Coturnix japonica: one gene and its partner. The protein of the gene in region 1 interacts with the protein of each later gene in a biochemical or structural test. Links are inferred from orthologs where the notes say so. Each region holds a gene or a part of one and is shown on either strand. Other genes may lie near its edges. The genes, in order: NFE2L2 and ENC1.

The links.
Region 2: the proteins of NFE2L2 (region 1) and ENC1 form a complex in vitro, tested with the Homo sapiens proteins (2 studies listed by BioGRID). The link is inferred for Coturnix japonica from reciprocal best matches to the Homo sapiens genes NFE2L2 and ENC1.

What each region holds. Positions count from the first base shown.
Region 1 is NC_029522.1:14,049,718-14,059,520, forward strand, and holds the start of NFE2L2 (nuclear factor erythroid 2-related factor 2), read left to right. Parts: upstream 1-4,518; 5' UTR 4,519-4,663; coding exon 4,664-4,693; intron 4,694-4,816; exon of another isoform or gene 4,817-4,934; intron 4,935-9,803.
Region 2 is NC_029547.1:22,164,275-22,174,077, reverse strand, and holds the start of ENC1 (ectoderm-neural cortex protein 1), read right to left. Parts: upstream 4,269-9,803; 5' UTR 4,067-4,268; intron 1-4,066. UniProt on the Homo sapiens protein: Actin-binding protein involved in the regulation of neuronal process formation and in differentiation of neural crest cells.

The DNA of each region.
Region 1 (9,803 bases):
AGACACAAGTCTTCTGCCAGTCACACATGCAGTTTTGTTGCATCTCCTGCCTCCTTATGTCCTCCTGCTGCCACTAGTGACACTGCCAGCAGCAAGCTGTTTGCCTGTGAAGCTCCCAGGCTGCTCACAGCCCAGCTGTCTCATCCTACCAACTACCAAACTGCTGCTCCTGTTCTCCTGTAGGCTCCTCCAGGACATGGCTCACTGTACATTGCCATATATTGGGAATACCAGTGCTGTGTTGCAAAGACATACCGTACTTTGAACTGTGGGGATATGATAGATGTTTAGCGTACAACAGGTATGGTTGTTCAGACTCATTTCATTTTTCATGTGTTCATTGGGAAAATAAGTAAACTTCAGCACATTCCGGACGTTTACAGTTGTACTCTGCAAAAACCTTCAAGTAGCAGTGAAGAGAGAATTATAGATGATGTATGAAGAAATTTAGCACCCCAAAAGTAGTGGTTTTGATCCAGAATCAGGTAAATTGATAAAGAGCGTACAAATAATACAAGTAGCTTTTCAGTGAAAGAGATAGCCCCAGACTGCATTAATCAGACAATAAAATGATGGGAAACTCTCCTTCCTCTCCCCCAGCAACCAGAAGTGAGTTTGCACAGGACACAGCAAGGCAAAAGAGCGGTGTAATTTTGAGCTCCATATAAGAATCTGGAAGGGCAGAAGGTTAAGTCATTTTCTTTACAATTTCAGCCTTAAATATTCATTTCCATCCACAGCCCTATCAAAAAGACAAAGATAAATGAGAAAGTTCTGAAAAAAAAACAGGAAAATAATCAGTGGCTGGAGGGCCACATTTGTTCAGAAATACACACATATGTTTAACTTGTCCAGATCTTTAAGGGTGATTAAGGGGAACTCATCATGGATAATTTCTGGAAGAGTATATATTGCAAGTTAAAAAAAAAGTTCACCAGGTCACAGGCTGCCAGAGATCCTTCTGAATAGCCACCAAATCACCCTTATAACAAACCCCAAAACAATGCATAAAAATAAGAGTTGCATTTACACTCTGAGAATCAAGCTTAGTTTTCATTTCCTCAAAAACTCTCTGTCAAAGATTAACCTTCCTATCTTTACCATGTGCTTAAGATAGGGACACACTCACACAGGCAAAGTGCTGAGGATCACAATGACTGCTCAACATTAGTCGCTATCAAAACAGTCTTCATTCATACCCAGATCCATGTGTTACACTGTCCACATAGCACACTAACAGGCAAGATTAGGAATGAGGCTAATGGGTGGGAGGACTGTGTACATAATAGTATGTCTTGGTCAGGACAAAAAGATGCAACTTAAACAAAATTAAAACTATCTGCGCTGTGATTTGAGTTTGTACCTTTCTTTGAAAAAGATGCAGAACATTTTCAGCCTAAGTTTCTGGGATACCCTATGCATTGCTTCTAATTATTTACTCTAGTTGTTCATATTTAGGAATGAAATCCTATCACTTCTCTTATTACCATAGTTCCAGGGAATAAGATCATAATTAATACTTAAAGACTGGGACACAGGAAAATGTTATAGGTATATGGATGCTACTCCAACGATATTATCGGGATAGGATTTCCTTCAAGAAGTGAAGAAAGAGGTACTTCAGGCTGTACATTAACTTCATCTAACTTTTACATGGTAAGAGTTAAGGAAGACAAACTCCAGCCATCATGGCTGAGGACATACCAGCTCCTCCTGCCAACAACCAAGCAGCAATCCATGGTCCATCATACAGCTTTGCAAAGTAAGAAGGGAATGGAGTGTGCACCTTGTATGCTGATTCCAGCATCCTTCGTTTATGTCTTCTTAAAACCTCTCTGTAAAACAGAGGACATTTCCCTATTATTAAGTTAAAAATGAATTATGCTTCAGCATTTTTCTAGTATCATCGGGGTACTCATTTTAAAATAGAAGTCTTTGTTAAAAATCTAACATCAAAACTTCTATGTAGCACAAAGTCCCACATCCTGAGAGTCATTTCTCATTATAGACTCAGTCAAAATAGATGAGTTGATTCAAAGCTTATAAGTTCAGCATTACTGAAATTCACTCAGCAAATGAGGATGTGTTCCCAGCATTTTTCAGATGTTTGGAAGATTAAGTGCCAACTTGTTTTTCTTTGTTGCTCAAACTAGTCAGGTTTTAAAATACATATTCTCAGCAGTAGGTGGCACTATGAAGTCTCTAGCTTCATAATTATTCTAATATGAGATAATATAAAATGTTATGCAGAGACATTAGAAATAACTTCATCAAAATGTTAATAGACCATTAACTAAAAACATGGCCCAATCTCTCCTTTTTCCTATCATTTTAAAAGGAGCATAAAAACACTGGTCTGCCCGAGCTCAAGGTGTGAAGATAAGGAGAAAAGAAATTAAGCAAGGAACACAAATGAAATATATAGTCAACAGTCTTTATCTAGCCTGGCCAGAAAGTGCCCTTTTTCTTTTTTCACCCCAGGCTCCAAGCAAGCTGCTTAGCTTTGCACAGAATTTCTGCACTGTGATACAATCTACACCAATACCTAAGATTCCTGTGTGCTTTTATTTTCCTTCCTATTAAGTAAAGTGTATAGAAAATACACCTTCGTGGCTTCAGGGCAATTTTTCAGGGACTGACATTGTGCATTACTCATTTTGTGCTAATGTGTTCTATCTTCTGCTCGCTATTTCTTCTATAACACAGAAAAGAAAAAAACCATAAGACATCACTAGCATGGGGTCTTGAGCTGGGAGCAGCTCTACTCAAGAGTTTTAAACTGTGACACCAATTTCTGTTGTAGAGTTTTGTCCATTCAAAGTCTTCAGGATACAGCCAAAGTAATGCAAAACACACCAAAACATAGCTTTTGACTCTGGTTTCTCACTGCACATTATTTACTGTTATCTTGTATTACCCCTAAACTGGAACTAAGGATATGGTATTGTAAGAGCTACTTAAAATAGCTCACTCGTTCACACAGGCACTATATGTTCTGCTTGGATCTCCCTCCTTAAGATATTTAGTGGCTCTGTGGATGCAATTTAACTTACAATGTAAGCCAAGTGCTTCCATAGTATCTCATGCAGTTATCAAACAAGCATTTTACAAATCTACTCAGATTGTGTGTTCTTTCTATGGATTTCATACAACTAGAGCAAGCACCTTCTACATTTTTGGGCAGACACCCACTTTCAACAGGTGGATACAAATAAAATTTTATAATTACTCTGGATTTATCAAATTTATATACTTATGCTTTTTGCTAAGCCATGCCCTTGTACCTTGTGAACAGCTTATACTACCACTAGTGTGCAATAGCAAATTGAACACAGCTCAAACAATGTGAATTCTCCATGTATTCCACATGGTTTTGTTGTGATTTTCATCTTTTTTTTTTTGTGCCAGGGGTGGATTCATTGTTTGACCAGATGTAGGCAACACCCAGCAAACACTACATGAAATATACCTGGATGAATAGCCACACTAAAGCACAAGCCAGGGAATATAAGAGTGAAGAGAATCATAGAATGCCTTAGGTTGGAAAATTCCTGCCAAATCACCCAGTTCAAACCCCTGGCCATGGGCTGAGTTGCCAACTACCAGATCAGGGCCCAGAGCCCCATCCAACCTGGCCTTGAACACCTCCAGGGATGGGGCACCAGCACCTCACGGCCCTCTCAGTAAATAATTTCCTCCAAACACCTGACTGAAATCTCTCCTTTTTTAATTTAAAGGCATTCCTATTTTTCTTATCGCTATCAGATAACGTTAAACGTTAGTCCCTCTCATGCCTAAGGGCTCGCTTTAAGTGCAAGAAAGCCACTAGCAATCGAGTTTTCTTCTAAGGCAGCGCCGTGCCAGCAGAACATCTGACCGAGGAGCATTGCCATCCCATAGGACGGGCACTGCCATGACATCTCCCAAAGCATCACGTGAGATTCGGGTCTGTAAGTCAGCCGGCTGAGACACGCACGCCAACTATTTCGACACCCGTAGTATTAACGGGGGTTACAGTGCAAGAAACCACAGGTACCAGGGAATTACAGTACCCTGGGATGAGAGCCTGATGTAATAGGAAAGCACGTGTGGAGGACGCAACCAGAAAGAGCCTGGAAAGGTGCCTTTAGTGTCAATGTAGCAGACTGCCAGTGGCTCGTAGCCGTGTTTCGGGACCGGACTAATAACGTAGAACACGAAAAGAAGGTGAAACCACACACCTGGGGAACGTACCGAGGCACGGACAGAACAGCCGGCCGAGAGCACTGCTGACAGAACAGCCGGCCGAGAGCACTGCTGACAGAACAGCCGGCCGTGAGCAGTGCTGACAGAACAACCGGCCGTGAACAGTGCTGACAGAACAGCCGGCCGAGAGCAGTGCTGACAGAACAACCGGCCGCTCGCGGTGCCCGGCGCCGTGGGAGGGTCGCGTTCCCGGCACCGCCGCCACTGCCGGGAAAGGAGCCGCCTCCGCGGGCACCGCTGAGTGGCTGCGCCGAGTCGGGGCGGAGCGCGGCGGTCGCCGCTGGCTCGGCCCGGGCCGGGCCGGGCCGTCCCCGTCCCCAAACAGCGGCGGAACGAGAGCGCGGGCGGTGCCGGCCGAGCCGCCACAGCTCCACAGCTCCACGCCGCCGTTCCCGAGTCCGCGCCGCCGCCCCGCGCCATGGAGATCGAGCTGCCGCCCGCCGCACAGGTGAGGGCGCCGCGGGCACCGGGCGGGAACCGGGGCTGCGCGCCCCCGGCTCCCCCTCCCTCTTGTCCCGGCCGTTGGGGCGGGGCGGGCCGGGCGGTCACGAGGCCGGCGGGGCACGTGGTGCCGCCCCGCCCCGGGGGCAGCGCTGAGTCACGGCGGGGGCCGGGCCCCGCCCCCTCGGTACTTTCCCCGTCTCCCGGGCGGGGGGTGCTTCCCTGCCCGCTGCGCAGTTCGGGGCCAGGTCAGTCCGTGGCGAGGGGGGAGCTCGGCCCGGCCCGGCCCCGCCCCGAATACTTGTCCGGTTCCTTCTTGAGGGCCTCCCGCTGTCACGCGGCCTCAGTGGGGGCAGTTGCACAACCGCGTGTTGCCCGTGTCGGGTCGTGGGGTGCGGGGCGAGAAGGGCGCGGGGAGGGTGTGATTCTGTGAGGGGCCGTGGGGGCCGCGATGGAAGGGACCCCGCATCACTTCAGCGTCCTCCTCGGTGTGGGCCGGGGCGACTCTTGTGTCTCCTCCTGTGGGGCCACCTGTCCGCGTTGTGCTGCTCGAGCCCCACAGCCGCGGGTTGTGTCAGATCTGTACTGTAAAGGCGCTGTGTCTTTAGGTAGCTAATGGATTATCTTTTATTGGTTAAATGGAATGCTGGATGGGATTCATTTGGGATGTTGTCTATTACTAATGACACAGGTATCAAAACTGCTGAGGAAAAACGCTCTGGAACGTGAGTCAAAGTGTTTCAAGTCAAGTTCACAAAAGCATTATGTACCCATAATTGTTTACTGCTTCAGTAAGCTGAAAGGTGCTGAAATGGCTGGGCCTGGTGCTTCTAGCCTTGTCAGACAACATGACAAACTCATCAGCTCTCACTAAGCACTGAGCCTTGTGAGAAGGTGAGCAAGATTACTTTCTCATGTAGTGTTTGCACTGAACACTAAAAGTGAAGGCCAGTGTAACCATGTACTTGAGTATCTGCTCAGTGCGTGGGTTTTTCTACCTAGAAAAGAGTTTCTAGTTACATTAGAGGTATCTCTTTAGTCTGTAGGGCTTTACACAGGTATCACATGTCTGTTTTTGTGACGTACTACATAAGGTTGTCTAGTGAATGTCTGTTCCATAATGGGCTGTTCTTTCCATACGACACCGATCATGCAGGAAGTGACAAATGAGTGCACCGCTCAGGCCTGACAACAGGCCTTTGATGTGTTTTTTAGCTCAATAACTGTTAAGCATAAGTGTCTGTAGATAGATTAAGATATCTGTATGGATACCTATTTGTCCATCTATATATGTGGATACGTTTCGGTATCAGAAAACATCTATGTTTTTTGTTGGTCTCTCAGAAGGAACTGAAGGCTGAAGGAGCTGGGTGGTTCAGTGTGGAGAAGGGGAGGCTGAGGGGAGGTCTCACTGCTCCGTACAGCCGCCTGAAAGGTGGTTGCAGTGATAAAGGTGCTGGTCTTCTCTATCAGGTGACAAGAGATAGGATGTGAGGAAACTGCCTCAAGTGGCACTGAAGGAGGCTTAGATTGAATATCAAGAGCATGGAAGGGGTGGTTAGGCATTGGAACAAGCTGCTTGGGGAGGCAGTAGAGTTGCCATTGCTGGAGTTATTTAACAGACCTGTGGATGTGGTTTGGCAATGGACTTTGTGATGTTAGGTGAATGGTTGGACTTGGTCTTAGAGCAATCTTAATGATTCCATGACTCCTAAAATTACAGAGAAGAGTGGTGGAAGTAATAAGAATACTACAAGCACTGTCTTAAGTAGAAATGCATTTTTTAGACCCTTTTAATTCTGATGTGCCTACCCTGCTTATCATGCTGCACTGAAAAATCTTTCCTCAGAACTTCAGAATATCTCTCAGTTAAACCAGTGGTAGATACAATGCAGTGCAGTACCTGTGGCTGAAAGAAATGTAGACTAATAAAAGATGACCATGAGAATCCTTTCAATGCAACAGCTAATTGGATATTTTATTATTGTAGTACATATCTATCGTATGGACGCTGTTCTGTATTTTGTATTTAAAATGTGCTGGGAATTTACATTGCATGAGAAGTTGTTTGAAATACAAGGAGTTGGTTGCATTTGAAAATGGGACTTGAAGAAGCTTGCGGTTAGAACTCAAAGTAGGAGAGCACTTTGGCTTTGGAAGTTGGGGTTTTTGTTTTTGGTTGTTTTTTTGTTTGTTTGGTTTTTTTTTTTTTTTTGGAAAAATATGTGGAAGAGACCAAACTGGGACAAAATAGAACATTCAGTATAAGCAGAGAGCAGCTGGATCATCTCGTGCTTTAAAGAACTTGAGACATTTTTATAGGAGTGTGTGGGTGGTTGGGAAGCTTTGTGTATGTTTCCCACCAGAGTTCATGAGCTAGAATAAAATTTGGCTCTCTGTCCATTACTTTTTTCTTTCTTAAACCGAAAAAAGCAAAGAGAGTATAGCACTTATCCTAAATGACAATACAGAAGGTTATGTATCACCATGACAGCCAAGATCACTGTTAAAATTATCAGATTATTATTAGCTATTCTTGCCCCTGAATACTTCAGTTCTTATAGGTTTTTTCCTCTTTGTCTTGAATTTGCAGAGCGAAATGCTGTGTGCTCCTTTCATGATCCTGGCTGAAATTAATATAGCAATGGCACGTTGAGCATTCTTTAATATTGAAGAAGTCTCTGATACTTCTGTTTAGTATGCTGGAGTTCATGAGATCACCAGAAGTGGAAGGGGCTAAATAAGTTATCTGTTCTTCCATTTCCCCTGTCAAGTCTTTCATATATTTTTTCCTTTTGGTAGTTGCCGAATTTTGTTAGATCTGGTCCTCCAGAAGAAACAACAAACCCCAAAACAGCAAAACCTGCCACAGTTTGTTGCTGGAAAATGTTTAGAATCCATTGAGTTTTTCTAAAGGAGAATGAAAAAGCATTGACTGCATGTCCAGGAAAAGGTCAGTTTACATGAGGCAGAAGGAAAGAATTTCTATCTTTTATAGACTTTCTATACAAAGTCCAGATGAGAAGAGTAGATGACACCAGCTGAGCCCATGCTTTTAAAGCCAGGTGTGTCCTTCATTGAAAAGAAGGAACTTTTTTATTTTCTATCTAGAACATTGCTTATTTCTTTTTTCTAGGAAATTAATAAAGATAAGCTGTAAGATGACTAAACCATTCATGAAAATTAGGCTAATTTGTGAGAGTGTGATGTATTTGCAGTAATTGTGCTGGCTGAGGTTAGTGCAGAACAAGTCCAGGCAGGAACCTGTTGGCATGAATTAAATATTAATCCTCTGCTACTGTGTTTGAATTCCAGCCAGGCAAAAAGCCCTCCAGAGTCCCCAGGTTAATCACCTAGTTAAAGTTTGTTTTGGCTTCCGTCTCATTCCAACCCTAAGTAATCCATTATTCTAATAAAATACATTCCTAGTGAACTTAAAGCAGTTTCAGGTGTGTTCAGTTTTCTGCTACGGGGCATTATATCCAAGCAGGACTTTGTGCCACAGAATTCGATCTCAGGTGAAAGGAAGAGAATACAACGCAGGGGTCAGCTAAATTCTTTTCTGTGCTAATCTAGTTTAACTGGTTTGGGGAACAATTCATCTGCCATTACGCAAGTCTTTTTACATAAACCAATGAAAAGTCTGGTAGGAGTAGTTGGAAGTCATGACTTTAAGGCTGTTTTATCCAAAGATGACTGATATACAGCAGTAAACTGAAATTCGTTCTGGGTTGCTCAACAGTAATGGCTTTATGGTGTATTTGTTTGTTAAGGTAAACTATTAAAGCATCCATTAAGAAATGAAGCCAGCAAAATTATCAGTAGTGTATAAAACTGCTAAAACACGAAAGCTTTATTTGAAATAGATGCAGGTGAGCCATAGGATCATGGAATGGTTTGGGTAAGAAGGGAAAATTTCAGTTCATCCAATTCCAGCCTGATTCCAGAGGCAGGGACACCTCCCACCAGCCCAGGCTGCCCAAAGCTCCATCCCTCTCAGCCTTGAGCACTGCCAGGAATGGGACATCCACAGCTCCCCTGGGTGTGTAATTCAAGTAAAGATAGTAAAGTCTCTCAGAACCAGAATTGGCACTGTTAATTGAAATAAGCATTAATTTGGTTATCTGAGAAATGTGTAAGGCGTGGTAAGGGTAAAAAATATATATATTTAATTATTTGAATCCTTTGGAAAAGAGGATTTCTCTTCATTTTGTGGAGCCTCTTCTATTTCCCATCTTCAGCCTTTTTTGGTAAAATACTTGCTCAGTTCTCTCTGGCCAATGCTGACTTTTGTATGGACGTGCTACGTGTCTGTACATGGATTTTGTGTCTGACCGCTAATTTCTACTGTAATGTTCACTTTTAAAGGGTTAATTCAAGTATTTTGATGCACTGATCATGGAGATGTTGGAAAGCTTATAAGGGTTAATAACTGCGTTAATAACTCATAGTATATGGTATAGTTAGTGTTTTTTGTCAGCTCTATTGGTAATCCCCAGAGCAAGTACTGGTTGGCAACGCTGTAGTAAAATGGGTTTAACTTTAAAAAAACAAAAGACTCTTTTCTCTCCCCCCTTCAAAAAAAACCAAACCTTAAATGGGTACGTTTTATATATCTGGTTGAAGTTTTACATTAGCTCGGTTCGGATTTCTGACTTTGACCTGATTACCTGCAGCTTTGATACTGAGGAGAAGGATTATAAAATAATGTTTATTTTTAGTTCAGGAATTGTAAAAGCACTGTGACTGTAAATGCTTCTCATCTTTCCAGTTAAAGTAGTTTCAAGGACTATTTTTTTGTTGTTGTTGCTGTTACTTTACTGAGATAGTTGAGACCTCCCACCCTTATAATTGTCCTGTGCAGTATTAAGACTTTTAATGTAAGTTCTGTGGTATTATTATGAGCAATGAAATTAACAGAGGAGAAAAAGAGAAGAAACTTCTTTTAAGTTTGGTGTTGCAGCAACAAGTTATGTAAGATCAGTTTGAGACGGGCACTTTCAAACCTTTTAAGGAAGTATCTTTTGTATGGCTATGGAACATAAAGATATCAATTTTCCCTCCCTTGCCTTCACCTCTGCCTTGCAGTATCTAAGTTTTATTGTTGTTTGCTGTAT
Region 2 (9,803 bases), on another chromosome or scaffold:
TAATCCCATTAGGAAGCTTTGCTTTGTTACAACAATTCCATATGCAACAGCGGAGAATGAAAAGGGGAACCTTAAAAGGAAAACTTAACAAGGATCATAAGTTTAGACTTGCAAAATCTTTAAAAAAAAAAAAATAATAATAATATTACAATTGGATTTCAGAGATTACATCTTGAACTCTGCCAGTGGCCGCCTGCTGCAGTGATACAGCACACACAACAGGCAGAGTCAGCAGAAAGATGTTTTCACTGCCAGATGAAGTCATCAAGGCATCACCATACTGTGGCTACTTCAAGAGCCAGGTACTCAGAGCACAAGCCATCGACTGCTACTGGCTGCTTTTGAGATGAAAAGAATATATCCTATACAGTTCTATTCCTGACAAGCACAGTGCTTCTCAGTCCTTATCAGGTGAATGTTCCTGTTATCTGCCATGATATGCAGGGTTACATATGATTACTGGAGTAAGATTCCAGATTTCACTAAGAGTTGTGCCCAAACAGCACAGAGTACACAGGAAGAGTAGAATACTGGGAGTTATATAGAGCTAATGGCTGAAAAAACACATTGCAATGAATAGGTGAAGCATACAGAGCCCATTGCAGACTATGGCTGTGACTGCTACTTGTTATAACCTCTCTTCTCACTCCAAACTGCAGAGGAAGCTTGAAGAAAGAAGAGAACCAGGCTTCCCTAATTGCTATGATACTCTCTTAAGCAGAGTCCCATTCACTGCACCTTCAAATAAGGATCAGGGCAAGAGCCTACCTGGGAATCTCCTAGTGCTCAAAGTCAGAGCATGACCTGGGGCCACCTGCAGAGGTTTTTCATGTGGATGTACTTCCCTCTCTCACAGACTTGCACATTTTCATATTCCTGAGCATGTTTAAGCAGTACACAACCATACAACTCTATTCCCACATTTCATGCTTCAAGCTGACACAAGAGCCTCAAAAAAACAAACAACCAAAAACAAAATCTTTAATGAATGCACTTGTTTTTCTAGGTTCAGAACCCTCAACAAAATCAAAACCATACATGATTCACTTGGACAACAGACTTCAGAATTTCCTATTTATGCATAATGGAGGATATACACACTCTGCCACATGTGCAGCACAACCAGTACTATTCTGCATTGCTTAAATAACATGCAGAACAATCAATTTGTCACATATAACAAAAAGTTTGTGACACACCTTTCACTTCAGTTGCAGGGGAGGAAGAAAAATTAATAATAAATCAAACCCACCTTCAAACCAACATGAATTAATAAACAAAGAGGCACCTTAGTGCAAAACTACCATAACCCACTTTCTTTAATATGGAAAATGACTTCCCTGGTACCTTTCAACTGGGATTGAAAAGAGCAAGCAATAAAGTTCAGTGTAGAGTGCTCAGTCCAAAATCCTTCAAAGCTCATAGGAATCCTTTCCCATCAGAGCCACAACCCGAGTACCTGACACACAAAAGTTTGGAAAGGTGTTTTAAAACTCTGGTCCTGTCACCAGCCTACAGAATGAATTGATACCAAGCACCAAGATACAGAGCAGCTTCAGGAGGCTGGTACATCTCCTCAATGCAAATTATTTCATAGGATAAAATGAAATTACCTTTAAAACAATTCTATTAGCTAGCAAGGAGAATGGTGTCTGACTTTGATGCTATTCAAGGATCTTCAACACTAATCTCAGGCTAAAATTACCAACTTAATTTACAACCAAAAAGATTATACTGACCACATACACTCTCAGGCTGAAACCTGCTGGAAATGAAGGATTACAGAAAGGGTCATGGCTTAGAGTATATATACACAAACAGTGGGGAGACAGGTGGGAAGAGCCATTCACCAACAAAGAATCCCCTAAAAGCTTTTATAACTTTTCCAAGCATCTTACCTTTTTAAATGCCATCACAATGCAGTACACAGCACTGGCTGGATCTCTACAGCTCAGCTTTCCTCACACTGAGGAAATAAACCTGCAAGGCCTCCTTTGCCAGGCTGTGGGATGGGAGCTGAACACTCACTGTGAGCCACCAGTATGCAACGATGGTGTTCAATGCCCCCTGCTCCCTGTCCCAGCCAAAGGAAGGTGCAGACAAACAGCTCTGGCATGCCAAGATCTCCACAGTACGTCCGGAAATACAATGCAGAAATCCTCTCACTATGCACTTAGGGTTCAGTATTAGGGCAGGTAAAGTTCACATCAGAGGCTGCAAACATTCAGCACCTACAGTCCGCTAAGAACCACTAGCAAAGATCACTTGGAATGAGACCACAACCACAACAAAATAAACACAGACCTAAAAAAACTCACCTGGCAACTACACAGACATTGGAGGGTACTGAGCTAAAAGCGCTTGTGGAAGGGAGGAACAGATTGCTGCATGCTGCCCAAGCCCACCCACAGCCCCAGTAAGAAGCACTGCTGTTAAAAAAAATAAATAAATAAGAAATGCAGCTACAGTAAGGCAGTCACATTTCACCCCACTAAAGGTGAAGACTTGGTCCCTCAGTGAGTAAAGCCATTTCTTATGGAGCACTTGCAGTGGTCTTTAACTGTTCGGGTAACACTCTATCATCACAATGCCATCCACTGAGAAGAATTCAAGGTATGCCAGTTCACATTTAAGATAAGTTAACATACTTCCCCAAACAGAACAAAGATTTATATCTACACGTATCTTTTCCTCCTCCGTGCTTGCTGAGATGAGCTCACACATGGATGAACCCTTAAGAGCAATTATCATAATTCACTAACGAGCAGTGTTTCTGTGAATGCATCTTTTTGCAGCTCCTGACAATTAGCTCCATCCAGAATCATACAAGAATGTTAAATGGTATAAATGACATCTCTGATTTCTCCGTTTGGTGCTGGAAATTATGCAAGCCTCAAATACTTCAGCGGAGGTAATTTACAGTCAGTGAGCAAATGTTCATCTTGAATAAAATGAGTCAACTCCCTTCAGGCGGCTTTTCCTTAGAAATAATAGTATTAGTATGTAAAAAACAAGAAGCGGTCAGTAAATTACAGATATAGATTTTATCTAGGAACAGAGGTTCAACCAAGACTTTGATTTATAATTACACTTCAACAGGCTGCTCGTCACAGCAGCCCTGTAGTAAACACGACTTTAAAACTGAACAACAGACTCCCTGCCCTACTTCTTTGCAGCTCTGCAGCGTGCAGGTCACAGCCTAAAAATCAAATGAAGAATTAAGTATTTTCAAATTACCAGCACAGCCAAGATGATAGACTCGTTTTCATACGGGTCTGTAATTACTTGGGGCTGGTGAAGCTTTAGCGCAGAATCAGTGAAACTGCTGGGGAAAAGGAAATCTGACACACATCCCATTGATCTGACTGATACTGCTTTCAGTTGCTAACCCCGCGGCGATACTGTCGGTCTCGCTGAGCCGAGTCCTGATCCTGCCTGAACTCCTCTAGCACAAGCTTAGCGGCTCCCCAGGACCTGCAGTAAGATGGAAAGCAGAGCACGCTGCTCCTGCGAGGAATGCAACGCTGCTCACCACACGCAGACAAAGAAACCCAGCTCTAAATTCCCTATAGTTCACTCCATCGCGGTGTGCCTTAACAACCCCCCACTCTGAAATAAAAATTCACGGTTTTCTTCCCAAACTGATGCAGAAACAGTGCGAGAAGTCAAAGCGCATCTGTTTTTCTTTACAGAGCAACAACCACGTGGAAAAGTTTCTGCTCCAGAGCAGCCCCGCTGCCAGCTCCGGCAGCAACGCGGCGCCGGTCCTTCCTCCGCTCCTGCCACAGCCGATGGATGCCCCGGCCCGGCGAGGCAGCCCGGCAGCCCCGCAGCAGCACCCGGCGCTCCGCAGGACCGCCGATACCGGAGGCACCCGATCCCAGTGCCGGCAACCAACCGCTTCCCCGCTGCGGACAGGAGGAAGGGACGGAGCGGTGCCGAGAGCGGATGCGGCGCAGCGGGCGCAGAGCCTCCCCGTCCCAGCCCGGCTGCACGCACCCCGGCTGCCCTCCCACCTCCCATCTCCCACCTCCCTCATGGCGCGGCTTGCAGGGCACCGACTTACAGCGGCTGCTGCCGAGCGGGCGTCCCTCGGCCTCCAAGCATGGGAGGGGAGAGGCGACCGTGCGGAGAGGCGGCCGACGGAGGTGGTGCCGGCAGCAGGAGGCGGGCCGCGGTGGGGAAGGAGGAGAGAAGGACGAGAGAAAGATCAGCTGCTGCTGGCACCGCCGGGCCGCAGCTCTGCCCCGTCGGCGGCGCGGGGATGGGGTATATGCGCTGGGGGCGGGGAGGCTATGCAAAGCGGATGGGTGACACCCGGGGGAGGGACGGGGAGGGGGCGGGCAGGCGGCGGGCTGCGCCGCGCAGCGTTGCTGTCAGAGGAGTTCGCGTTCCGGGGAAGGTGCAGCGTGTCCCGGCGCCGCTCCTCTAGGGCTGAGCGTGTGGCCGCGCTCCGCTGTGCGGGAACAGGAATAGCCGCACGGGTGCGGGCAGAAGCCGGCATCCAGCTGCCGGTGTCCAGCTGCCGGTGTCCAGCTGCAGGTAACCAGCTGCCGGTATCCAGCTGCAGGTAACCAGCTGCTGGCTCTGCCCCGCGGATAATGCGGGGGGTGCTGCACCAAACTGCGCCCGGCTTTAGTTACTTACTAGTTAACGAAGTATGAGAAAAACACACATGTGCAAAAGGCTGATGTGAAAAATAAACACAGACACAACAGCAGTGTTTACATAATGGCGTTGTGCTGCTGATTTACTCTTTGCTACTTGCAGCGATGGCGTTAGTCTAAAGATGCTTCAAGAAAGATATGAACAATTAGTTTACCCCCACCAGCTCACAGCTGCATGTAACAGTTTGCACAGTTCATTTGTTCCTCATAAGGAAACATCACCGTTTCTTCTGTCAGAAAAAAAACCCACCCCTGTAAGCAATTCACTAACATGCGTATGGTTACTTGTGTTCCTGTTGCTGCACTCCAACGCTGCAGATAAACATGAGCTCAGTGTACAGCAGGACACATCTGAAGCTCTGGAGAACCTGGGGATAACAGCAAAGCACAGTGATTTCAGTTAGACAAAGAGCAGGTGAAAGAGTAATCTCTTTCATTTGTATGTATGTTTACAATAGTTTGATTATGACATGAAATTCTGTAGATTGCAAGATTAAAAATATTGCATATCTATATGTAATAAAGTGTATTTCAATGCTGCCTAGGTGTGAGAAGCTCTTGGAAACTGCGGATCACCTTATACAGTGGGTATTCATGGACACGAGAGCCTGATCTAGTGCTCATTTCAGTCAAGAAACACTAGTGGATTCTGGATTCATGGCTGATGTTTCTAGCACCATGGGCTGTCATGTTATGAATCTGGGTTTTTTCTTTTGTCCTATCATGTTCCACAAGATCTGATCCTGCTTTCTCCCATTTTTCCTTCAACAAAACTGTCAGAGATTCCAGCCAAATCCTGCCCTAGTAGAACAAATTCCATTATGGTGCATTCTGCACAGTCTAGTGTTGTCATCCCTTACAACTAAAAACATGGGTTCACATAATTTCATACAGTGTCAGGTTTGTTCTCCTCCCTCCACACAGGCAAAACAATCACCAGGAGTGAAAAACAGAAATGGGATGGCAGTATTAGATAGGCTGTAGTTCAGCAGCCACACCTTTTATGTGAGTTTGTTTTTGCTCCTAGTGATGAAGAATGGTGGGGGGAAAATAAACTCTGTAGAGAGGACAATATGTAAGGCTTATGCAGCTGCTTATGGCATGCATATTTGGGCAGTGCTCTGGGTGACTGAAATGAGACAGTAATCCTCTGAGCGACCTCCATAAAACAAGGAATCTGCTGGGGTTAATGAGGGCAGAATAATTGGATGAAGCAACATGTTTCCTGTTGGAGAAACAGCCATAGAGCCAGACAGCCCCTTCTGTGTGCATGTAGCAGCATACATGCACTGTGTGAAACAGTGCTACTGGTGGGAGAAGAGAGAGAAGGAAAAGATGAACTCAGTAGTCTTCTGTCAGTTCCACAACTGGAAGCTCTACAAACCACAGCAGTGGATCTCTTGCATGTCTTTATGGGAACTACTTTTCATGCTCAGGAGACAAAGAGCATCCATACCACCTCTAGTCCCTCCTGAACAGGTGTTAGGACCAGGTAGCTCTGGTTGTAAATGCAGCTCAGAACACATTCATAACTGAAGTGCTTGCCTAGTTAGCATGGGATAAACACTCAACAAATTAACCTGGTCCAAAGCAAATCTTTGGCCCAGTTTACATTGGTCTAAGCCAGGTCACATTTAAACACAGTTCCGGTTAAGCCAGTTTTGTAAATGGGCCAATCTGTATTTTGACACTGCTGAAAACAAAGTTAGCCTAGCCTATCCCAGGACATAGCTTAACATGCCCACTGAACTAGTTTGGACATGTTTCTCCTAGCACTCATATACCAGGATAGATAGGATCTTTGAAATATTGCTAAATATCACGATTTTATCACAAATCACAAGATAATCAGCATTTTTCTCAAAGCCCCAGCTTCTGGAGTCATGTGAAAATGATAATCTCTCAGGGCTTATATATATATTTTTTTCTTTTTAATTATAAGCTTTAATGATAACTATGTGGAATGGAAGTGCGGCCTTTGAAAATGGAAGGCATTCAAAACCCCTGTATATTTTCACCTCTGGATCTCTAAGTGCCACATTTAACTGCAGTGCAATTGGGGTAGCAAAAACTTCTTTGTTCAACTCAAATCCAACTTGCTATGTTTAAAAGCACTCCTGGTATAACTACATGAATTTAAACTCCCAGCATCATTTAAATTGGTTTGGCTTCTGTGTTGAGACAAGTCCTTGGATCACTGAATGTATGGCAAACATTATAACATGGCCTTTTTGACTCTTTAGAGTTTTGCAGGCATGGCTCTGCAGCTGAAACACCCTCCAGACTACCCCAGCCACACCAGCAGGAGCTCTAACACAGACAGAACTGTTCTAGCAAAATAATCCATTTGCCAGTCCAGATTACCACAATCAAGAGATTGAAATACTTTTTTTGGTTGTTTATTTATTTTGTGTTGTTTTGTTGGTATCACTTGCATCTACATTAGTAGGGTTTGCCAGTACAGCTATCTTGGCAACCCTTTTAAATGCAAATCAGCTGTATGTGCCCGCAGCACAGGCTGAGATCTCATTTTTAATGCTATTAAACAGCTGTGTCTTGGGCATTTGCCTTGTTAGACTCTTTTAACCACATTATTTTGTTCCACTGCTAAATAAACAGCATGGGGTTAAATGTATTAGTGTAATTTATCTTCATTCCTTCTTAATTTACACTTCGAATGAATTAATTAGGATGATCTAATTAACACTGTACAATAGCAGTACCAGTGCCAGCAATCTCTCCAGAGGATGAGGCCAGGAGCACCCCTCAGTGACCCACACCTGCTTTCCTTATCATTTCTCTTTGATGAGCTTCTCCAGATGGGCCTGAAAACAGAGGTTCAGTCAATACAGCCCAGTGTGACCTAATGTGCACCAGGGCTGTCTGAAGCTACTGACAGGAGGTCAACACTGAACAGTTCTTAGCAACAATTACACCAGCTTTTCCATTCTTTTTTTTTGGGTGGGTGTAAGTCCTTCTTTGCCTTGCTCTCCTCACCTCTGCAAGTGTTAATTTTTCTAAAGGATTACATTCAGCCAGAATCGCCCTTAGATGTCATTCTTGCATGGCATGGCAGATCACATCCAGTGCACCCTGGAAACCAGCAGCAGTGCTAAGGGGCAAATCTTTGGGTAAGTGGCACAGAACTGCTACCTTCTGAAACATTTGTTCTGTCTTGCTATGACAAATGACTGTTGAGTCCCTCACATCTTGCAAAGTATATGAACACCGGCACATCTGAAGTCAGTGAGCTATAACATCACACAGTATGCAAGAGAAAGGAAATGATAGGCCTTGGTTTCTACGTAAAGCTGAGTTTGTTCTGCACAAAAGATTTTCATTAATCAAGGGGCTAATGTGGCTTTAAAATAACATTACAGATGTGTGTAATGTTTGGAATGAGAAAAATTTTCACCAATGGTTTCTTAATCCTCAGGAGAATCCCTTGGAAAAGCCTTACTGTTGCATCTAGTCCAGAATTCTCACTGTTCCAGCACTATGTGCTAATTAAAAATAATAATAATATTGAGATAAAATGTCTCAGACTATGAGGAAAAGTCTTCTGCTTTGTTTATAATCCCTGTGTGTCCGTTGTACCATTTTCCAGCACTTCTTGCCCTTTAGTTACCCATAAACAGTCTCTGCTACCTTGCTTTTTATTTTTTTGCTGACTCTGTATTGCCTACTTGGTCACTCTCTTAGTAAGAAAAATTGTTCCTTGCTGGTGAAAACAGTAGTGTTGATGACATGCTTTTGATCAAGTTTGATTAGCAAGGCTTCCCCATGTTTTTTGAGCCAGTTCCCAGAGATACACGGTCCAGCGCAGCGCTGGAAATACCACTGCAAAGAGGGGTCAGTGACATTCAAGGTGACATTCAGCAAAAGTCTTAGCGTCGGATGTTCAGGAGATTTCAGTTCCCTGCCCTGAACTCCGCACAGAGGCAGCTCCTTGCTTCTTTTCAGGAGCTGCCTCCAGTCTCGCCCTTGCAGCAGTTTCCCTTTGCTTCTCTCTTGCTACGTAGCAGTGGCCCCCAGTGGTGACAGCTGAGCTGGCTTCCCATTTCAGGTTATTCCAGTCTGCACTGAAAAGCCTCCACGCTCTAGCAGGAACTTGGCCTAAGGACTTGTGTATTCTTCACATCGCCCACTTCTGCAGGGCCAGTTCCTTCGCACTGAGGGTTCAACTCAAAACACTTGAGCTTGGAAGCAACAAACACTTATCTGTCTCTGAGAACTGAGCTGCTTCTTACATTCTTACATAGATTTAGTCTTTTAGAAGGAACTAGATAATTAAAACAGAGAACAGCAGTGTGTCATCCAGGGAGATCTCTAAGTGATTTTCCTTTTCTTTTTTTCGCTTGTCTTCACCTCTTATGTCAGTACGGAAAGCAGGAAGACAATAATGTATTCATGCAAATGAATAGCTTTGGTTTTGTAAGGATAGGAATACACATCCCAGTAGCTATGCTTAAATTCTTAAGCAGCAGTATGCATTGAAATAGAAAGTATTTAAGGTCTTTCAATACTTAAGGACCGTTTAAGGACTTTTATTCAAGGTATTTAAAGATAAGGACTTTTGACCCCAAATGGGAATACACGTTCCTTTCTGGTGGTGCAAGTTTAGTCGCTGAAGTTTGAAAACACAGAAATCTGCACGTTAAAAAGTTCGTGTTTTAGCTTGGTGACTTCTTACATTGTTCCTTCCCCTTACATGCTATTTTGCCCACAGATCAGAAGGAACTAGCGTATTCCAACAGCTGTCACCCCGAAAAAAAGGGCAATGCAGGTCACATTCTTAGGAGAATATTTCTGACTTTGTCAGGCAGATAAGAGGAAGCATGAGAGAATTTTTTTTTACTTCTATTCTTCAGTGCCTGAGGGACATTGAGTTAATCTGCCCTTACAGATGTATAAGTAGATCAGAACTTTGGGGTACAAGTTCAGGTTGCTCAGCCTGTTTGTGTATCACTGCTACTAATGTCTACTGTACTCAGTCAAAGCGAAGGCCAACATATGTATTCACTGAATCCCAGAATCCCAGAGCAGCTGAGGTTGGCAGAGACTTCTGGGTCCATCTGGCCCAACACCTGCTCAAGCAGAGACACCAAGACCAGAGTGTCCAGGGCCAGGACCAAG